Arabidopsis thaliana: one gene and its partners. The protein of the gene in region 1 interacts with the protein of each later gene in a pairwise test. Each region holds a gene or a part of one and is shown on either strand. Other genes may lie near its edges. The genes, in order: MBD5, GTL1, CIA2 and MYB65.

Region 1 (4,106 bases):
GCTCGGAGGAGCCTGAGAGGATACCGAGCGAGTGAGGCGTCGAGACTAAGATCCTACTGACGTTAGCAAGGTGTAATGCTAACGTAAGCGTCTCCATAGCGGGAAGGAGATGAGTGATGAGGGTTTTGTCGGATGTGGCGACGACTTCGTTTCCGACAGCAATGTAACGGATTGAAGTTGTTAGGAGGAAGGGGAGGAGGTTGTCGGAGAGCCATGAACGTGCGTTGGAAAGCTTGGAAAGAGAAATGATATCGGAGTTTGGGACGGTGACGGTGAGGGAGATTCCTGTAATGCCGGAAAATGCGGCGAGGATGTCGTGGTTTGTGTCGAAGATTTTGACGTGGTTGATTATTGTTTTTGTTTTGATGAAGTTGACGACTTGGTGAGGCGGTGGGAGGTTGTTGGCCACGGTGCCGTAGTTTACGCCGACTTGATATGCAGCGGAGAAGGGAAGGATGAGAGTGAGAATTAGGAAGTAAAGTTGATGAACAACTCTAGATCCCAACATGATCGTGAATGAGTTTATTTTATGACTTCCACGTTTAGCAAAACTTACTAGGAGTTGTTTTTTGGGAGCATGATCGTGTTCGGTTTGATTGTGGAGACGTGAGCGAGTGGCTCCCAAAAAATCACTCACTCCTAGTAAGTTTTGCTAAACGTGGAAGTTTTGCTAAACGTGGAAGTTTTGCTACATAATGTAATAATCATAAATTAATAACATTTGATAATTGAAACCATTAATAAGGATGTAAATAGTTGCAAATTAATTGTATTTGGGGGTGATTGGGAAGGGACTCTCAGACCATCCTCATCGGACAAATTTAAAAGGTGTCTTCAAATTTTAACAGAATAAAAAAAATAGGAAGATGAGAATTAATGCGCTGAATAGGAGTGACATGATGACTTTAATGTCTGTGGAAAAACATTTTTTGATACGGGAAAACACGAATGTGTCACCATGCTATTGGTTGGTGTTATTGTTTTTTATTTTTTCTCTTCATTTGACCAACAATTTTCTCTCTGTTCATTTTATCAATAAATTTCTCTCTCTTCATTTGGCAGTTAAGACATCCAATATACTGATCACCGATGTGGATGCTCTCATAGCTTTAAAGGTGTTTTAAAGTCCTCACAGTTTTTATTTTAACAGTCATGCTTTCTTGACTTTATTTTTTTTTAAAGTTCTCAAAGCCTTGTTTTTATTTGTTCTTTGTTTCCTTTTTTTTTTTAAAGTCACGATTACATGGCTTTCAAACAAATAAATATTAAAACTTTTCTTTTTCTTCTCCCATGATAATTAAAAACTTTCTACAATTTTATATATATTTTTTCACAAATCATTTTTGATTAATTAATTATTATTAATTTTATATTTTCTTTTAAGATCCAATTTACTAATAAATAATTTATTTATTACATGTGCAGTTTATTTGTTGAGAATATTTATTTAAGAATATTTTTTGTATTTTAATTTTATATTATTAATAAAATATATTTGTGTCACTATGTTGAAACATAATTCAATTTTAACATAATTTTATTTACAAAAATATATTTAATAATAGTAAAAATAGTACTCAAGCTTTTACAACTTTATATTACCAATCAGAATTTAACATCTAAAATCTCAACAGTTAAGTCTCTACATCCAAATTTTCTATGGTAAAAGTTTTTAAAGCCAAAACATTTACCGTCATCCTTACCGATCGGCCCATAGTTGTTCAAATAATTTATATCAGTTACACACATTTCGATTTTGATTTCGGTTACAAATATTTTATCCACTCTAATTCACAACAAGAAATTAATTTACCTTAATGGGCCCAAAAGCCCAAAAACTGCAACGTGGCTAATTAAGCCATTCCTCGAGCTCAAACTTTAAAACAGAAACAAAACTTCTAACTTACAAATTGTACTTCTGTCTTTTACTCTGTCTGATTCAGTCAAAAAGAAAGGAATATTAAAATCTCTCAATTTTATATACACTCACTCAATCATACCTTTCTCTGGAGACCTCCACAGGGTTTGTTTCCGGAAATGTCGAACGGCACGGATCAGGCTCAACCACCACCGGAGAACCCGGCTACTCCGGTGGATTCGAAGTCACGGAAACGTGCGACGCCAGGGGATGATAATTGGCTTCCTCCTGATTGGAGAACCGAAATTAGGGTTCGAACCTCTGGCACTAAAGCTGGTACTGTTGATAAGGTGAAAAAATCTCAGCCCTTTCAATTCCTTCGCAGATAGAATCGTCCGTACAAATGGAAATGTTATGTTGTTTGTTGATTTGAATTGGAACTTTTTCTTAGTATTTATGAAATTGGGTATTGAAGTTAGGTTATGATGATCTTATTGGTTTATATTTTAAGGTATTTGGAGACTTTATAACTAGTCTTTAAGTGTAACGTTGCTGTATGTATGCTTGTTGGATGAAGATTGCTCTGTTTAGGATGTTGTAGGTGTGAATATGATAATGCAGTGCTTGATGATGTCTTGTATTTGTAATGTAGTTCTACTACGAACCGATTACGGGTCGTAAGTTCCGGTCCAAGAACGAGGTTTTGTACTATTTGGAACACGGGACGCCTAAAAAGAAGTCCGTCAAGACAGCGGAAAACGGAGACTCACATTCCGAAGTGAGTTTGTTAGTAGACATTACCTTAAGGTTTAAACCCGTGTTTTACCTGAACTGTTGTTGTTTTTGCACATTTTTGTAGCATTCTGAAGGTAGAGGAAGCGCTAGGCGGCAGACAAAATCCAACAAAAAGGTTACTGAGCCACCGCCAAAGCCGTTGAACTTCGATTTTCTGAATGTGCCGGAGAAGGTTACTTGGACTGGGATAAACGGTTCAGAAGAAGCTTGGTTGCCTTTCATTGGGGACTACAAGATTCAAGAATCTGTCAGCCAAGATTGGGACAGAGTATTCACTCTTGTCACCTCCCAAAACGCTGGAAAAACGATGTTCTAGAAGATTGCTGCAGAAACTCACAAATTGTAATAACACGCGCTGCTAGATTATCATATCTACTTAGTATTTACTGATCGTTGGTTGGAATGCAGGTTAATTTTTTAGTAGTGATAGTTTTAGTAACACTTTGATTTGAGTTGTAATGTACTTTCTTAACATTTTCTTAGATAATTTGAAGGCAATGTATGTCTATATTATTGCCTTTGAGAGAATCCGATAGTAACAAAGTTATGAAATCTAAAGTTCGATGTGCGGTACTTCTCTGCTCAGTTCTCTCTGCTTTAAATTGTGAATCATCAGTTATGCATAGGCTCTATCTATCTATGCTTCTCTGCCTTTGTCCTAAATGATATACGGAAGCATACTGACATAATTTGGAATAAGTTCAAGTTATAACAGAACAGTGTGAAAATATGAACCAAAGCGTCTGTAGTCCAACGGTTAGGATAATTGCCTTCCAAGCAATAGACCCGGGTTCGACTCCCGGCAGACGCATTTTTAAATTTTGACATTTTACGCTCGTTGTTTATGAACAGTAAATATTTTCTTTAGATCTTTGTTTAAGAATTTTTTTTCTTTCTAAAATGGCTAAGAACATTGTCGTCAAAGACTATAATTCTTTTCTGTCTTATGCAGTGGATAAAAAAGGGGTTCTTATCGCACTTTTCAGTTATCGTTTGTTTCCTATCAGAAAACAAAATGGGAAAAATTCTCCACCTCAAAATTCGAGGAATTCTAACGGCGTGGAGATGAATAATTACCAAAAGTAACATATACACCCCCGTCGAAAATAACGAGTTTTCAAAAAAGATATTTTCGGTTGATTTGTCGATAATCATCTGCACTACGCTGCGGTATATTTTCAGATTTTTTTATCGTTTAATTTAAATATAATTTTAATTATCTAATCATTCACTCATGTAATAAATAATTATTTTTATTATTAAAATATTTTTTTCAAACAACATTTTCAACAATGCATCATATACACATTTCCTAAACAATGTTCGTCTTAAACCAATTAAATAGAGGGTAATGCTGGGATTCTCGAAACCTAATTAAGAATTTGATGATTAAACTTCTTACATACTCTTTACCCTCGGTGATTTATTATATAGATAAAAATCTGCAAACTAT
Region 2 (6,056 bases), on another chromosome or scaffold:
GTAGAGAGAGACGTTGCTTTTGTGTGTTTAAGATTAGTGTGTTAATCAAAGTCTTAATCAAAACTCCCTCATGAGATCTAGATCTCTTATGTAAAAAGAGAGATTCATTCAGTCAGAAATCAAGGAAGGAAACTCCGTGAGCATGTTCTTACCACCTCGTATAATTATATTCTTATTATACTTGTACTAATATTAAAGTTGTATAATTAGGAAAAAAAAGAACATATCACATGTAATAAGTAATAAATATAGTGAAAAAGGAGAGGCATGTGAAAGTGGGGGGAAGAAGAAGAGAAGACAGCTGTGTATCCGCCGCTCTCTCTCTTTCTTTCCCCTTCAAGAAAGTTCTCCACTTCCACCGCCCACCTTCTTCTTCTTCTTCACCTTCTTCTCTAACCATTATTATTAATTAGCATCTTTCATTTTGTTGTTAGAAGGAAATAGTTTGTTTTCCTTTTTTGTGTATAACTAGAAATGAGCGGTGTGTTTTTGTGTAGAGTGTGATTTGGTAATGAAAATGAGTTTTTTTTTTATTTTGTGTATGTTTGTGTAGGTGAGAGGTATTAAAGAGTTGTATAATGTGATAGTATGAGTGTCTGCATCGATGTCTTGAGTTTGCAACTAATTTTAGATATGAGGCTATTCAATTTTTGATTGATCACTTATGTCTATCTTCACCACAGCTTTACTATCTCAAAAAATGTACTTATTTTCATTATTTTTCACCTAATTGTTATAAGGTTTCTTTATTAGTTTGTTATCTTGTACTTTTGTCGAAAATTCTGGTTACCACCAATACATAAAATCATCATCTTGACTTTTGTTTTGATTCACATATATATGTGCAAAGGAAATTAACAGTTTCATTTTTAATTAAAAACCAAACGAGTTACTAAAAAAAAAAGCGATGTCAAGCTATCAACATTTAACTAAACGAATGTCTTATTTTTTGGAGAAAAAAATAAATTCAAAGAACATATCAAAGATCACTTGACGTCACGTTTGTTTATTTATGGGATTTTGCAGACCATGCATGTTCTTGATTCCAAATTATGCCAACATACAAGAATCACTTGTAAAATTGTAGCGTCCAAATGAGTCTAGCAACTTTGTTATCGTGACCAAGCCATCATATCAATTCATGTATGCTAAATTCGCTGCAAATTCAGTAAAAAGTATGTTTAAAATGACATAAACGAAATCTGTTATAGTGTTGGTAGTGAGTGGGTTTGGCTTTGGCTTCGCATAAACTAATGCATGGGTCAGGTTATCGATCCGACCTGCCAAGATAGTTCCGAGTTTAAAATTACATGGTTATGTTAATTAATTATGCACTATGTATGATTCATAAAATAATTTCACTGGCTTTGGACTTACTATTTTTTTCTTTTCTTGACATCACTAAAACACTATTGTTTGATATGTTTCTATAAATGTATTATTTACACAATAACAAAAAAAAAGAGAGAAAGAAACTGTTGAATTGGAGAGGAAAGAGAGTGGGGGGAAAGATGTCAAGGCTGGTCCAGCTCAAATCGGGTAAAAACTATTATCAAATTCCAATTCTGTCCCTCCCTTTCCCCAAAAATCTGATTGTCACATACCCTACCAATCAGACAACGCCACGTGGACACCTTAGACATGATGGTGGGAGAGGACAACAACATGGGAGGCACATGATTTTGTGTTTATTATATTTCTCCAAAACACAATTTTTACCCAAAAACAATTTAATCGGATCACTGAGCAATGAGATGTTTGCGGATCCAAATTTAACTTTTAAAGCCTTCCTTACTCTTTGCTTTATAACAATAATAATAATACACATAAAATTGGATTTAATTAAATAGATGTGGACCTTTTTTTCTAAATAATATAAAAGAAGGAAGAAAATAAAATAAATAAAGAAAAAGAGAGAGTGAAGAAAAGTGGGTTTAACAATAATTTGCTGCAAAGTTAGAAGAGGCTTCAGCTTTATTAACTTCTTGTTTGCTTTCATTCTCTTTCTCTCTATCTATCATCATCATCCTCGTAATCCTCTCCTTTCTCCTTCAGACCCCTCCTAGTTGCTGTTTAAACAAACAAAAAAAGACTGCTTCTCTTTCTTATTTCTCTCATCATCATCATCAATGGTTTTATGAGATTTATATCAAAAAACATTGAGGAGCTAGAGAGAAAGAGAGAGTGTGTGTGTAGAAAAAGATTGAAACATCATCAAGATTGATGGAGCAAGGAGGAGGTGGTGGTGGTAATGAAGTTGTGGAGGAAGCTTCACCTATTAGTTCAAGACCTCCTGCTAACAACTTAGAAGAGCTTATGAGATTCTCAGCCGCCGCGGATGACGGTGGATTAGGAGGTGGAGGTGGAGGAGGAGGAGGAGGAAGTGCTTCTTCTTCATCGGGAAATCGATGGCCGAGAGAAGAAACTTTAGCTCTTCTTCGGATCCGATCCGATATGGATTCTACTTTTCGTGATGCTACTCTCAAAGCTCCTCTTTGGGAACATGTTTCCAGGTCTCTCTTCCTCTCTTCTCTTCCATTTTCATCAATGGTGTTTCTTGATAGAGATCCATTTGCATGTGTTTTTTTTTTGTTAACTTTTTTTTTTTAGTGTTAGGTATATATAAATAGTAATATATTCGAGATCAAAGCATCTTCACCATCCCCAAGAAAAATTAAAAGAACTGTTTGTTTATTACAGAAGTTGGTTCATGAGTTTCTGGGACGTTTTCGATTTTGAAAATCCCAAGACTCTCTTTACTTCCAAAAAAAAAAAAAAAAAATCCGATCGAACAGTAACCATAAAAATTTTCCAGCTAATAACGACAACCAAAAATAAAATAAAACTAGAGAATCTGAATTATTTTCATGTTTTTGGAAACAGGAAGCTATTGGAGTTAGGTTACAAACGAAGTTCAAAGAAATGCAAAGAGAAATTCGAAAACGTTCAGAAATATTACAAACGTACTAAAGAAACTCGCGGTGGTCGTCATGATGGTAAAGCTTACAAGTTCTTCTCTCAGCTTGAAGCTCTCAACACTACTCCTCCTTCATCTTCCCTCGACGTTACTCCTCTCTCCGTCGCTAATCCCATTCTCATGCCTTCTTCTTCTTCTTCTCCATTTCCCGTATTCTCTCAACCGCAACCGCAAACGCAAACGCAACCGCCTCAAACGCATAATGTCTCTTTTACTCCTACTCCACCACCTCTTCCACTTCCTTCAATGGGTCCGATATTTACCGGTGTTACTTTCTCGTCTCATAGCTCATCGACGGCTTCAGGAATGGGGTCTGATGATGATGACGACGATATGGACGTTGATCAGGCTAACATTGCGGGTTCTAGTAGCCGAAAACGCAAACGTGGAAACCGCGGTGGAGGCGGTAAAATGATGGAATTGTTTGAAGGTTTGGTGAGACAAGTAATGCAAAAGCAAGCGGCTATGCAAAGGAGTTTCTTGGAAGCTCTTGAGAAGAGAGAGCAAGAACGTCTTGATCGTGAAGAAGCTTGGAAACGTCAAGAAATGGCTCGGTTAGCTCGAGAACACGAGGTCATGTCTCAAGAACGAGCCGCCTCTGCTTCTCGTGACGCCGCAATCATTTCATTGATTCAGAAAATTACTGGCCATACCATTCAGTTACCTCCTTCTTTGTCATCTCAACCGCCTCCACCGTATCAACCGCCACCCGCGGTCACTAAACGTGTGGCGGAACCACCATTATCAACAGCTCAATCTCAATCACAACAACCAATAATGGCGATTCCACAACAACAAATTCTTCCTCCTCCTCCTCCTTCTCATCCTCACGCTCATCAACCAGAACAGAAACAACAACAACAACCACAACAAGAGATGGTCATGAGCTCGGAACAATCATCATTACCATCATCATCAAGATGGCCAAAGGCAGAGATTCTAGCGCTTATAAACCTGAGAAGTGGAATGGAACCAAGGTACCAAGATAATGTACCTAAAGGACTTCTATGGGAAGAGATCTCAACTTCAATGAAGAGAATGGGATACAACAGAAACGCTAAGAGATGTAAAGAGAAATGGGAAAACATAAACAAATACTACAAGAAAGTTAAAGAAAGCAACAAGAAACGTCCTCAAGATGCTAAGACTTGTCCTTACTTTCACCGCCTCGATCTTCTTTACCGCAACAAAGTACTCGGTAGTGGCGGTGGTTCTAGCACTTCTGGTCTACCTCAAGACCAAAAACAGAGTCCGGTCACTGCGATGAAACCGCCACAAGAAGGACTTGTTAATGTTCAACAAACTCATGGGTCAGCTTCAACTGAGGAAGAAGAGCCTATAGAGGAAAGTCCACAAGGAACAGAAAAGGTACAAACTTTGCTTTTCCTTGTCAAAATGTGATTGGTTTAATGTTCTTTGATAACTGAAATATGATTTGTTGGAATTGAAGCCAGAAGACCTTGTGATGAGAGAGCTGATTCAACAACAACAGCAACTACAACAACAAGAATCAATGATAGGTGAGTATGAAAAGATTGAAGAGTCTCACAATTATAATAACATGGAGGAAGAGGAAGATCAGGAAATGGATGAGGAAGAACTAGACGAGGATGAGAAGTCCGCGGCTTTCGAGATTGCGTTTCAAAGCCCTGCAAACAGAGGAGGCAATGGCCATACGGAACCACCTTTCTTGACAATGGTTCAGTAAAATCAGAATCATTGTTTCAAGAAAATGTACTTATGTGTGCATAGTTTTCTAAACAAAACACCCAAAAACACAAAACACAAACACACACACACACACATCTGACACCACAAACTGAAATATCAAGGTCTCATCGATCTTCGATTTTTCAGTGAATACAATTCTTTTTCACATTCTTTCCCTTTTGTTCTTTTCTTTCTCACTGTCTCTTGTTTGTTTCTTCTTGTTCATTGTTTTCTTCTTCCAACCCCCACATGAACAAAAAACTCTAGCTAAAAGGTCTTTTAGATTATTTTGGAGTTGTAATTTCATCAGCAAGTCTCACACTTTTTTTTTTTCTCTTAAAACATTTGTTGATTGGTTAATTGGGGAATAAAGAGTCTTTATTTTATTTTTTCTTCCTTTAAGGTAAGAATTAGAATCATTTAGTTTATCAGACAAAGATAAACATATATGACTGATTATTACTACTATTTGAATTGATATATGACAAAGATTGGTTTATTCACTTTGCTTTTTTGACTGAGACTCAAAGCCATAAGTAATTGAGAGGAGAAGAAGAAGAGAGAATCTGTGTGTTTTTATGTTTAATCCTTTTTGCGGCGCCCACAAAAACAATCCGATAAGCCATTATTCATTTTTGGTGTCACTATCAATTAAACAGGGTCGCTCAAAGTTTTGTTCTTTTGTTTCAAACTTTATTTTTCTTACAATCAAAAGCATGTGCAGGCTTTTGTACTTACAACGACAAGACTCGTGCCACTCTCATGTTAACTCATTTTTCATCTCTCTGTTTTTTTTCTATAACTTTTTTCTTTACCTTCAAAAAAACTGTATCAAAAAGTAAAAAACTACTCGTGTAAATTTACAAAATAAAAATAATGGTTTGAGAATATAGAAAGATGGATTGAGACAGCATGATCACACCAAAAAAAAATAAAGAAGAAGAAGAAAAAGAAAAGATTCTGTATCTTTTTGATAGAGAGAGTAATAATGGAGGAAATGGGTACAGGTAAGAAAGAGTAAGTACCACTTTGATTGCCAACTTGCTTTCACCTCTTTGTGTCTTAACACAGCTGCCCCAACGTGCAATCATTTTATACATATAAAATGTATGTATCTAATTATACAAAAGATATTATTACAATGTATTTTGTTGTGTATAAAATACACCAATGAGCCTGTCCTACCCATGTGCATTTGTTTTGTTTTCTTTCTTATTAAATTACACTTTCTTCTATCTCTCTTTATTTTATTTTAATTACGTATATTGAGAGTAACCTAAAAAAAGAAAGCCAACATGTGATCTCACCATTAACTCAAAGATTAAGATCTGTGATCACATGTAGTTTCCTTTTTGATTAGTCTTTGCCT
Region 3 (6,058 bases), on another chromosome or scaffold:
GTCTTTAGAGACATTAGTGAGTGTTGGAATGCAATTAGGTGTCTCCACAAGGACATTTGCTAGGTCTACATTGATCTGAAAATCTTTGCCACTGAACTGATTACCAGAGACCAATTTGGTTTGATTTGATTTTCCTCTTGTTTCGTGCATAATAACTCTGTATATAAACCAAACGATATCTCTTGTATCATGTATACAAGTAATGAGCTCAACACATTCCTTGTGCAGAGAGTTCTGTTTTTGCCATTCCGTCAAGCCTTGTAAAATAACACTCGATTCTTGGTCAAAGATAAAATGGTATCTAGAAGAAGCTACCATTCAAAAATCATATAACACGTCCTAGAAGCTATTTTTGCCCTTAATTCAATATGCTTTTTCTCTATAATGTTTTTATTGGGAAAGGAAATTTGGCTCGGCAAAAACAGATATTGAGAGGTATCAATGATTTGTCACCGGTTTTGATGACTCAAAGAAGCAATGGGCAACGAAACAACAGGTGTACAAGGCTGCAACATAGTTTGAGCCATTGGGATTGGTGAATAATCCATGTCTTGTTTTTTGCTACTGTTGTTGTTGAGCCAAGTCTCTGACTTGCTTCTTGAGTCATTAAAATCTCAAGAGCTCTGTTTCTTCTATTAATAACAAAAACTTTTATTAGTTTTGATCCCTCACTTTCTCAATCAAATCTCCCCCTCATCAAAAAATCTAAATTATAAACCAAAAGGGACCATAACTTAAAAGAAACAAAAAAGGAGGGTGCCAAAATTTTAGAAACAAAAATAAAACAAGGAATAAACAAAAGATAAAAAAAAAAAGATAAGATAAATCTAGGCTCTTTTATCCTTGTTATCTTTGTCCACTTGGAGTGCTCTCATTGGGCCTTCTCACGAATCGTCCCTGTTCCCACATCCCATCACCAACCACAAAAAGAAAAGAAAACATTAATATTAGGTTCTTGTCTTAATCAAATCTAATGTATATATCCCTAGCCCTTGACCTCAATCTAACGTTATTAGTTAGTTTTGTTTCCTTTAGATGACAATTCTTAATATATTTAACCTTTGGTTTGGTTTTAAATCTTTTTGTTTGGCTTGTGGTACGTAGTTTCCTTTACTTGTTCGGTTTGGTTCATTTGGAATAAAGATACCCAAAAGAAAGCTTATTTCATCTTCTTGAAGAAAAAAAACGAATAGAAAAACTCAACAAGAGTTTTCTCATCTACTTTAAATCTGAAAACTAAAGCTAGTCTTATTATGCTGATTCAAAACAAATTTTGAAGGATGGTAAAAAAAACCTACATGTTTTTAACCACTGACTAAGATGGGTTAGATACCTTCATTCGAGGACGTTGATCAGCATTGAGTTTGCGAACTTGGTATCGAATTTTCTTCGAAAAAAGACGAGTTCGACGTTTCTCTTTGTACCTCAAAACACTTGCTTCTCGCATTCCACTGTCTCCGAACAAATCAATCTGAGCTAATCTAGCCTGCCCCAAAACACACACGCCACATTAGTTCATGTTCAACATTATTAATAACACAAAATACTAATCAATTGACAAAAATGAATTTCTAGTTAACTTATTTTGTAGACTACTAGACTTTATGCTAAAAGGAGTATTCGACGAAACGGATATCTACAAAATAAATTTTGAACCTCCTCATTTATCCTATACGTGAAAATTCACGTGCACAGTCTATAAAGTTTTCATTGGACAAATAAAAAGCAGCTTTTTTTTTTCTTAATTGATTGAAAGTCATCACAGAAAAAAATGTTATTTATAATAAAAAGAAGACTATGTACCAAAGTCAAAGGGTTAATAATTATTCTTCAAAATACGTTACAGGAAAAATTATTAATAAGAACTTTCCACAAAATTTAATAAATTCTTGTCAGATACTTCAAACTATATCATAGCTAATAAATTACTAATTCAGCATTAATGAGAACACACTCCTCAACAGCCACGTGGCAGAATACTAATGGCCAAAACAGAATCCCGAATAATTAATTATTTCAAACTAACCATTAACTAAAGAAAAATAAACATAGAAAATATCGAATTTTAACGGCGAGGGATTTGAGATTAAGAAGAGATTAGTGTTAAACATACATTGACATCGACAGCTTCCGATCCCTGAATCTCGTCGGGAAACGGCGACGTTTTATCAGACCAAGCTTCCAAAACGCCGTCGTAATCAAGCTTCAACAACGGACCTGTTCTCTTCAAACTCGTCTCCTCCGTATCTTCCAAGCTTTTCGATTCCGTAATCAATGTCGTCGTCACCGTCATTTTCTTCTTCTTCTTCTTCTTATTACTCTTCTCTCCAGAGATTACCACCTTCTTACCGTCGGATTTCTCCTCATCAACGGTGGAGATTGCAGTTTCGGTTTTGACAGTTTGAATTCGCGGCGAGATCTGTTCGAAATCAACGGTATGAATCTTCCACAATTTTGTGTCGTCGTTTTCTCTGAGAGCACTTCGTAATCCAAGCCCTAACGGGAAATTGAATCCGTTAGAGCTTCGATTCCATGAATTGATCATCATCATCTGTTCTAGTTTACCAATCCGATTAGAAGAACTTCTTCCACCGCGATTGATCATTCCCGGAACCCTAGATTCATAAATCCCCGAATTTGAATTCGATTCCACCACAGTCCCCATTATACTATCGATTCCTTCTTCAATATCCTCATCGAGAATCGATTCAGCATCGAATTCGTCGGAGAAATCAAACTTTTCGATTTCACCACCGTAGCAATCTCCACCGGAGTTAACTTCCTTCTGGTCTGAGAAAAACTCTGTTTTCGTTTGAATCGTTGGATGAAACAGAAAATCAGGTTCTTCGATTGATTCATAAGGAAGAAGCAAATCAGAAGCGTCGTCGTTGTCACTAAGCAATGGCCCGTAGAAGTGAGAGTTTGATGAAGAGTGAGTTTTTTGCTTAGAGGACAAGTTTGAGGAGAAGATGTTGGGATAAGCAGTAGAGAGAAGAGTAGCTGCTTCGTTGTAAGTCTGGTTTGGTCTTTTGCGTTGTGTTCTTGGCTTTCTCGTTGAGATTGCGAGTGGTGAATTTGATGATTCGGAGATTGTTGATGATGGTGAAGTAGCTCTTGTTGTTGTTGTTGAGGATGATGGTGGTGGTGATTTCACTTTTTCTAACTCGAAACTATATGCTGCTGCTCCTCCTCCTCCGCTGCTTAAACACGCCGACATTTTTTTTGTCCGGTGAAATCGGAAAAGAAACAAGACCAAAACTTTGAAGATTGTAAGAACTTTTGTGAGTGAGAAGAGAGTGATGAAATTAAGATTTTTGCCTTTTGATTAAAGAATTGTGTTTAATTTTAAGATAATAATAAACCCTTAAAACCCACTGAAGAAACCTTTTTTTATTTGGTGAGAAAATACAAAATTGAAGGGGGAAAAAAAGATCAAAACTTTAGGGAAAGAGGAAGATTCTGCTAACAAATGTTCATCATTTGAAAGAAAGAGCTAAGAAAACCCATTTGGAATCTGAGATTTATGTGTATGAAAACCAAAAGAATTGGCCAACGAGTGAGGTTTTACAGAAAGAAGCTAATTGGTTTGTGAAGAGGGAGAGAGAGATTGGAGGAGAAAGAAGAGTCACGAGATATATAAGAGGAGAAAGATTAGGGTTTTAGTGAGAGCTTAGTAACAAACAAAGGAGAGTTTAGTAAATAAATAGTGAAGAGCGTTTTTTTTTTTTTTGGTTTAGGGGTAATTTTAACTTTGAGAAGAGAAGTTGTGGAGAAACAGAGAGAGTGGTGGGAAGAAGAAGACGAGAGAGAGAGAGAGAGAGTGAGCGAATGGTGAAGAAGGGACAAGATAGCTCGTAATCGGCAATTCTGGAATGAATGGGGTCCACCAGTGGATTTTTTCACTTTTTGTATTGATTTAAAATTACTTTGTAAAACGAGTTTTCTTATGGATAGAGATACTTCCACGACTAAAGATTTCTATTCCATTTCAGAAATAGCCATTCAAAAGGTTTATAAGGTAAATTTTGTTACTGAAAACTCTTGGCTAATCTACAATGACTGGTGTTTGAATCAAAGTAAATTTCTCTATTTATTTTTTTGTTATAATGTTAATTAAGAAAAAAAGCTTTAAACAATGTTTGAGAGTTATTGAGAAATGATTTGGAGATTGAAAACAAAATAATGAAAAATCAATTGTTAAACCTATAATAAAGCGATATGATTGTGGCAACGATCGGTCATAATACGATTGAATTAAATTTGTTATGTGTTGATTTAACAAATTTATTTGTTCATTAACATTTACTCAAAATATAAAATATTAATTTTGTGACGATTTGGTAATAATGTAATGTAGCGACGATCGTTCATTCTTAAAGTTAAATTTTTATGTATTACATTAATATAACGACAGTAAGTCATTAATTCAAATTGAGTAAATCTTTTATGTATTGATTTATTGATATTATCCACTTGTTACACAATAATTTTTACCCAAAAATTTAAGATATTATTTTGCATATCGATCTTGTGGTGAGTAAGTAATATAACAGCGATCAGTCATTAATTTGAAAGGGGGATAAATATTTTGAGTGTGATTTATCGAAATTACTCATGATTGAAAAATATTAATCACATCATCGATTAAGTGGTAAGTAATGATGTAGCGCCGATCAATTGTCTAATCCAGCCTGTGGCAGTATTATATTAGTTGAGGTTGAGGATTTTTCTTCTTAGTTGATACCAAAAATCGAGTTCTACCATTCACAATATTTAATTTCAGCTCTTTAAACTAGTATAGAGTTAAACAAATTTATCCACTATTAGTTTTAGTTTCAATTTAGAGTCACCATATATTAGTTTAATTTTTGTTTCTATTAATTGCAGGTCCGGCTCTACACATGTGCCGGAGGAGCGAGGCACAGAGTCAACCCAAAATTTCTCTTTTTTTTGAAGTAAATCTAATACAATTACGATCCAAAAAAAAGATTTACATAACAAAACATAGGAAATGAGAACTAATTTTTTTTTCAGCTCTGGGTCCTTTATTATTTTGAGCCGACCCTGATTAATTGTAGCTAGAAGTGAAGCCATATATTGGTTTATATTTTAGTTTATGATATCTAGATTTTAAATAGAATTCGAAGTTATATTTTTTTACAGGTTTTGTAGAAGATTTTATTTAAAATTTGATATATATTTTTGATAATAGTAATAGTTTTAATAAGATTTCTCAGTTTTAATTTATTGATTTGGTTGTGATATCCGATTTCTGTTCTTCTTGAATAAAGTTTAACCAAGAAAAGATGCTCAAGAGTTTAATCCAGGTTGTTTAGTGAGTAATAGTCATTAATGATCCTTTTTGACTGGAGGGAAATGTGATTCTGTTTTTGGATTATTTTCTAAAAAGATGTAAAAACCACATCATCATCATCCAAATCTGCAAAATCTTTTTGGGATCTTAAAGAGAAAACGAGGAAAGGTCACCTTATCCATTGACGTGGCACATACCCATTGGCTCTACTAGATTTCTTTGATGACGTGGTGCTTTCTCAATTAACTGATTATGGTCGCCTGGTCGGAGACGTTTTCACGTGTTCTTAAAAAACCGACTTTATTATTTTACTAATTTCCCTTTATTAGTAAGATTTTTTTTTTTTTTCAAATTTACTAATTTAGCATATTTGGGAAAAAAATATTAGCATAAATTGATACTTTCTTATCTATATTTTAGATAATTTTTTGGATATATATATAGACATGATAATTGAAAATTTATTTCTTTCATTGACTTACTTTTTCAAGGTTAGTTTTATGTTAAACTTTCAAACGTTTCTGCAAAAGAAACATTAGAAAAGTAACGGCCGTAATATAATATCTATAGCTAATTGGCTATATTAGTAGAAGCAAGCTTACAAAATTGTCGTATTTACAATATAGTTATTAAATAATAATTAATTTAGTTTAAAAACAAAAGTGTGGAAAGAGAAAAGTGGTGGGCTAGTGGATTTGTGTATGTGAGAGAGAAAAAATGATTGGAACCTTTTTGGGATCATTT
Region 4 (5,742 bases), about 14 Mb from region 1:
TAAATCGTTTTATCTTGTGTTCAAGCCATCAACTATGATATCAAATTACCAGATCACTCATGCTAAAGAATCCATCGAAATGTATTAAGTTTGTCGAAGTTCGTTACTCTATATGGTGGATTTTAAATATTTGATTTGGTTAGATAATTTTTAGTTATACCGTCAAATAAATTTCCAACTATTTAGTCAGCGAATTTAAAGATCAAACACTAATCATCAGTAATGGTTTGCTGAAAATCGTCAGAATTTCTTTTACTAGTGAGCAAGTTTTAAGATGAAATAAAAGGTGTGAAACGAAATAGAGAAAAGGTAGAGAGGGAAGAGACAAGCGTGAGACACGGAGAAGTGGAACTGATCTCTTTACGTTCCTCGTACGTTTACCAAGTTACACTGCTTTCCATATTTCTATATTATTATTCCCTCCATCCCTTTCTTCACATACTTTATGTAACTTCTTTTTAAAAACCAATTATTTGTATTCTAATTGATTGAATCAAATAGTTTCTATAAGACTATAAATAAACATAATTCGAATTCAAATTCGGCAGCGTTGAAAGATATATGTTGAACAATACATTACCACACTTATTAGTAGAATATATTTATTTCTAGAGTCTCAAAACATAAGCCAAAAAGCCGAAAGCACCTTTTTATCTTTGTGGGTTTGGTGCAATGGATCATATATATGGTACATTAGCATTTTTATCATCTTTCTCTTTTATCATTTTTCTTGTATTGTCGGGCTTGCGTCAGGCCTGTACTTATCTTCATACAACATTATTTATGTACATAACCAGAATTCAGGCCACAAACAATACGTGAGCTATTCAGGATCACGAGGTCCACGCGCTCGCTCACCTTCCTCTTTCCTCAAAGGCTTTAGCTAATTGTTAACTAGATGGAAAACAGTGCTATGGTTGAATTTTAACATATTGGTTACTACTATCTCAATAATATTTTGTAATACAAATGTCGGTAGATGAATTGATATACCACCTTCATGGATGATGAAGATCCACTTTTAAAGCCCAATTTTTTGTTTTTCTTCGATGCCGAAATCAATATGGGCACATGTGGATCCTACTATAGCAGTTCCTCAATTTGAGTTAAAAATCTTTGGGTTTTAGGCTTTTAGCCCAAGGAAAAAAAAAAAAAAAAGAACCAATTTTTATTTTTTATAATTTAATAAGAACCAAATTATTCATCATTATATACTTCTGACAACAAATATTTACTATGTATATTATATAGTGAAGAAGCTGTGACATGAAACAGATTCAAGCCAATCGTCTGATTAGCTAGAGAATCACTGTCATAATCTATTAGTTGACAAAGAATGAATGACACTAGTACAGTAGTTAATATGAGTGCGGATTCTCGTAATCTCAACGTATCTACGTCAATAAGCTCATTTATACATCATTAAATTAAAGTACAACATTCCAATTTATGTTTGGTGGGTTCCTTTTTATCAAGACGTATACGATTATACCAAACCTTTATCCATAATTATTTTTAAATGATACATTTCGTAAATATTAATATTACGATTATTATTTTTAAACCTAAAATCTTTGAATTTTATAAAATTTTAAAATTGATAAAAAAGATACGGGATTTTTTTTGAGTTAATTGATTTTCTAATAAAGATATTGGATTCTTAGTGTTTTTTTTATTCTATAATTTATTTATAACGCGGAAATAAAAAGCAAAATAATTAATTAAGTGAGGAGAGTTTTAATATTTTGATGTTTATTTCTAAATTCATCTCTTTTTTCCACTTCTGTTCAGCTCTGATGAATCTTCTTCCTCTGTTACTTTGATCTCTTTCTCCATCCTTGTCTCTGTCGATTCTCTGAGATATCTTCTCTCGAGCTTTTTCCCGCGTTATCTCTCTCCCACTCCTGGTAATATTTTCTTCTTCTTCTTCTTCTAGATTGTTCTTCCGTTACTAGCTCTTGAATCCATTTCCACGGATCTCTGATCTTCAATCTCTGTTTTCATTCTCTCTAATCAGTTGTTGAGCTTGATATTTTTAGCTAACGTTTTTCCGATTCAAATTTACGATTTGTGTGTTTTCCGATAACCAAATCGGATATCTTCAGCTCAAACTCGAGCTCCGATTTCGTCTCATGTTGTAGATCTCGACGACTTCGTATTTGTCTATGGTTTGCTGATTGTATTCAGATTGCTAGATACTCAATATAGAGCTTACTTTTACCTCAGCTAGGGTTCGTCTTTGTTGTACCTTTAGTTGCTGCTTTTTGATTCTTGTATATATGGATTTTGATTGTTCAATCGTAATTTCTGGTTCATTGAAAATCGATTTATTAGTATTCGAAATTGGAACTAAGATTTAGAGATTGCGAATTTGATACAGAAGTCATTTCAAAGTATCAGAGCTATAAAATGGTGCTTAGCTAGTTTCTGGTTTCCATTTCTGGATTTTCATTCAAATACGAAATCTATTCGTCAAAATGGTGTCACTAGTGTTCTGTAGAAATTTCATTACAGACTTTTAGTTGTTGCCTAGTATCAACTCATATCTCAGCGGTAGATATGATGAATCTACTAGACATATTTTTCAATTATCGCCTCCTTTTACAAGTTTATCATGTCATTATTTTGTTGATAACTACATGAATGCTGGCTGAAATATTAATTTGTCTCTTTTTCCTCTTAATTGGTTCAGGTTGGAGCTTGATGTCTAAATTGTTATTGAACTGCTGGAGTCTGTCTTGCTTTAAGTAGAAAGAGATGAGTTACACGACGGCGACTGCTGATAGTGATGATGGTATGCACTCCAGCATCCATAATGAATCACCAGCTCCTGATAGTATTAGCAATGGCTGCAGAAGTAGAGGGAAAAGAAGTGTCCTGAAGAAAGGACCATGGACTTCAACTGAAGACGGGATTTTAATTGATTATGTAAAGAAGCACGGCGAGGGTAACTGGAATGCTGTGCAGAAACACACTAGCCTGGCCCGTTGTGGTAAAAGCTGTCGTCTGAGATGGGCTAATCATCTGAGGCCAAACTTGAAGAAAGGAGCATTTAGCCAAGAAGAAGAACAGCTCATTGTTGAAATGCACGCCAAGATGGGAAATAAATGGGCACAGATGGCTGAACATGTAAGTAGTTTTGTAACTGCGGAAGCTACCTGATCATGGTCCATTTTCATATTTTGATATTCTTTGTGAGCCTAAAGACTAATTAATCTCTGGTATGATGTTTTCTTCTTGTTTACCAGTTACCTGGTCGAACAGATAATGAGATAAAGAATTATTGGAACACTCGTATCAAGAGGAGACAACGAGCAGGCTTACCACTTTACCCTCCTGAAATCTATGTTGATGACCTTCATTGGAGCGAAGAGTATACAAAGAGTAATATCATAAGAGTAGATAGAAGAAGAAGACATCAAGATTTCTTGCAGTTGGGGAATTCTAAAGATAATGTCTTATTTGACGATCTAAATTTTGCTGCTAGCTTGTTACCTGCCGCTTCTGACCTATCAGATTTGGTTGCATGCAACATGCTAGGAACTGGCGCAAGTTCTTCCCGGTATGAGAGCTACATGCCACCAATATTGCCTTCCCCAAAGCAAATCTGGGAATCTGGATCTCGGTTTCCCATGTGCAGCAGTAACATAAAGCATGAATTCCAATCGCCGGAACACTTTCAGAATACGGCTGTACAGAAGAATCCCAGATCTTGCAGTATCTCGCCTTGTGATGTTGATCATCATCCTTATGAAAACCAACATTCGTCTCATATGATGATGGTTCCTGATAGCCATACAGTTACGTATGGCATGCATCCTACTTCTAAGCCCTTGTTTGGGGCAGTGAAGCTGGAGCTCCCTTCATTCCAATATTCAGAAACTAGTGCATTTGATCAGTGGAAGACGACTCCGTCACCTCCACACTCAGATCTCCTTGACTCTGTTGATGCCTATATTCAATCTCCACCACCATCGCAGGTAGAGGAGTCAGATTGTTTCTCTTCATGCGACACCGGCCTACTAGATATGTTACTTCATGAGGCCAAGATCAAAACTAGTGCGAAGCACAGTTTGTTGATGTCATCACCCCAGAAGAGTTTCAGTTCAACTACTTGCACGACCAATGTTACTCAGAATGTACCACGTGGCAGCGAAAACCTGATCAAATCAGGAGAATATGAAGATTCCCAAAAGTATTTGGGTCGCTCCGAGATTACAAGTCCCTCGCAACTTAGTGCAGGTGGTTTTTCATCAGGTGAGTTGATCAAAGTTACTTGTTGATTGGTATCTTATCTACTCTTGTTCCATATTGATTCTTATGCAGCTGTGTTGGTTTTCGTATATGAAGCTTTTGCAGGGAATGTTGTAAAGACAGAAGAGTTGGATCAGGTTTGGGAACCAAAGAGAGTTGATATAACACGGCCTGATGTTTTACTTGCGTCGAGCTGGCTTGACCAAGGCTGTTATGGCATTGTTAGTGACACAAGCAGCATGAGTGATGCGCTTGCACTTCTTGGTGGTGACGACATTGGGAACAGTTACGTGACTGTTGGGTCATCATCAGGTCAAGCACCACGAGGCGTCGGGTCTTATGGATGGACCAATATGCCTCCTGTTTGGTCGCTGTAACAAAATGAACCATATCACACAATTTGAATCTTTCTGTATTTTCATGCACCTGGCTTACATGACTTGGTGGTTTGTTATAGTTGAGAGAAGATTTGTGGACTTGGTAAAAATTTGGATTTTCTTCACCTGATTTTTCTTATACTTGGAAGGCATTTATATATACTCATTTCTTGTTCCTGCTACTTCCATCATACTAGCTCGATTGGTTTTGTTTAGATTGTAAAGAAGCAAATCAAAATTAGGGCTTATTGTAGCCCAACCTCTAATTGGGACCGGAGACACAGCAGCATGAGCGATGCGCTTTATTTCACAACTTGAAACTAGACGCTAATCAAACGTTACATAAGATTATGTAAAAAACAACATACTCCATAATAGTGGCTCCAGCACTCTCAATATATAGAGACATCAAAGGGAAATGAATCATTACAAATAATAAAAAAGTTTTAGGTCTTGCTTCTCGCAAAGTAACGGTGCCCCAAGAGGATTAAAACCCAAAATTCTCATGGGACTCCGAAATGATTTTACCTCATACTCCGGTTTTCTTGTTTCTAATGATTTCCTTAAGCTCTGCAAACTTCTTCTTGCATTGGTTCATCGTTTTACCAGGGACAGCTGCAGCTACTCTCTCCCATCTTTGGCTTGTCTCTTTCGGGAATGTCTTTAAAGCTTGAACCAAAGCTCTTTCTTGCACAGTCGACCAACTATCTGCGTCTGAACTTCCACCTACTTCACCATTGTTGTCTGAGCTTTGACTGCTCGAGCTTTTCCCCACAACAGTCTCTTTAGAGGGCTTTGCATTTGTTGTGGTCGTCATTGTGGGTAGAGATTCTCCGAGCTCCTCTCTTGTGGAGAGAGGGGATGTGATTGAAGCAGAGGGTTTCCTCTTCTCGAGGAAAGAATCGAATGCTTTAGCTGAATCTGGTTTTTGCAGGAGAACTGTTTTAGTTGCTTTCAGAATTTCCTCTACAGATCTTCCTGTACCAATGTACTCTGAAATAACTTCCCATCTCCGCGATGTCCCCTTTGGATATTTTATCATTCCTTTTCTCAGCATATCAATCTCTTCCTTGCTCCATGGTTGTTTCTTCTGAGTGCTACTATCTAACTG

Evidence for each region.
Region 2: the proteins of MBD5 (region 1) and GTL1 interact in a two-hybrid assay, tested with the Arabidopsis thaliana proteins (one large-scale study listed by BioGRID).
Region 3: the proteins of MBD5 (region 1) and CIA2 interact in a two-hybrid assay, tested with the Arabidopsis thaliana proteins (one large-scale study listed by BioGRID).
Region 4: the proteins of MBD5 (region 1) and MYB65 interact in a two-hybrid assay, tested with the Arabidopsis thaliana proteins (one large-scale study listed by BioGRID).

Annotation. Positions count from the first base shown.
Region 1 is NC_003074.8:17,146,360-17,150,465, forward strand, and holds MBD5 (methyl-CPG-binding domain protein 5), read left to right. Parts: upstream 1-1,872; 5' UTR 1,873-2,037; coding exon 2,038-2,208; intron 2,209-2,510; coding exon 2,511-2,636; intron 2,637-2,717; coding exon 2,718-2,969; 3' UTR 2,970-3,238; downstream 3,239-4,106. Other genes in the region: AT3G46570 (Glycosyl hydrolase superfamily protein), read right to left, coding at 1-508. UniProt on the Arabidopsis thaliana protein: Transcriptional regulator that binds CpG islands in promoters where the DNA is methylated at position 5 of cytosine within CpG dinucleotides. In addition, binds specifically methylated m(5)CpNpN but not m(5)CpNpG (N is A, T or C).
Region 2 is NC_003070.9:12,050,488-12,056,543, reverse strand, and holds GTL1 (GT-2-like 1), read left to right. Parts: upstream 1-1,790; 5' UTR 1,791-2,223; coding exon 2,224-2,513; intron 2,514-2,608; exon of another isoform or gene 2,609-2,710; coding exon of another isoform or gene 2,711-2,883; coding exon 2,884-4,345; coding exon of another isoform or gene 4,346-4,378; exon of another isoform or gene 4,379-4,427; coding exon 4,428-4,685; 3' UTR 4,686-5,167; downstream 5,168-6,056. UniProt on the Arabidopsis thaliana protein: Transcription repressor that binds specific DNA sequence such as GT3 box 5'-GGTAAA-3' in the SDD1 promoter. Negative regulator of water use efficiency (WUE) via the promotion of stomatal density and distribution by the transcription repression of SDD1.
Region 3 is NC_003076.8:23,165,552-23,171,609, reverse strand, and holds CIA2 (chloroplast import apparatus 2), read right to left. Parts: upstream 3,837-6,058; 5' UTR 3,218-3,836; coding exon 2,114-3,217; coding exon of another isoform or gene 2,087-2,113; exon of another isoform or gene 1,487-2,086; coding exon 1,334-1,486; coding exon of another isoform or gene 1,316-1,333; exon of another isoform or gene 898-1,315; coding exon 847-897; 3' UTR 585-846; downstream 1-584. Other genes in the region: PSD2 (phosphatidylserine decarboxylase 2), read left to right, coding at 1-79. UniProt on the Arabidopsis thaliana protein: Responsible for specific up-regulation of the translocon genes TOC33 and TOC75 in leaves. Involved in the general chloroplast protein import pathway regulation, including protein import and protein translation efficiencies.
Region 4 is NC_003074.8:3,600,299-3,606,040, forward strand, and holds MYB65 (myb domain protein 65), read left to right. Parts: upstream 1-1,737; 5' UTR 1,738-1,907; intron 1,908-2,050; exon of another isoform or gene 2,051-2,231; intron 2,232-2,585; exon of another isoform or gene 2,586-2,692; 5' UTR 2,693-2,757; coding exon 2,758-3,129; intron 3,130-3,248; coding exon 3,249-4,257; coding exon of another isoform or gene 4,258-4,283; exon of another isoform or gene 4,284-4,350; coding exon 4,351-4,631; 3' UTR 4,632-4,874; downstream 4,875-5,742. Other genes in the region: AT3G11450 (DnaJ and Myb-like DNA-binding domain-containing protein), read right to left, coding at 5,161-5,742. UniProt on the Arabidopsis thaliana protein: Transcriptional activator of alpha-amylase expression that binds to 5'-CAACTGTC-3' motif in target gene promoter. In vegetative tissues, inhibits growth by reducing cell proliferation. Promotes the expression of aleurone-related genes (e.g.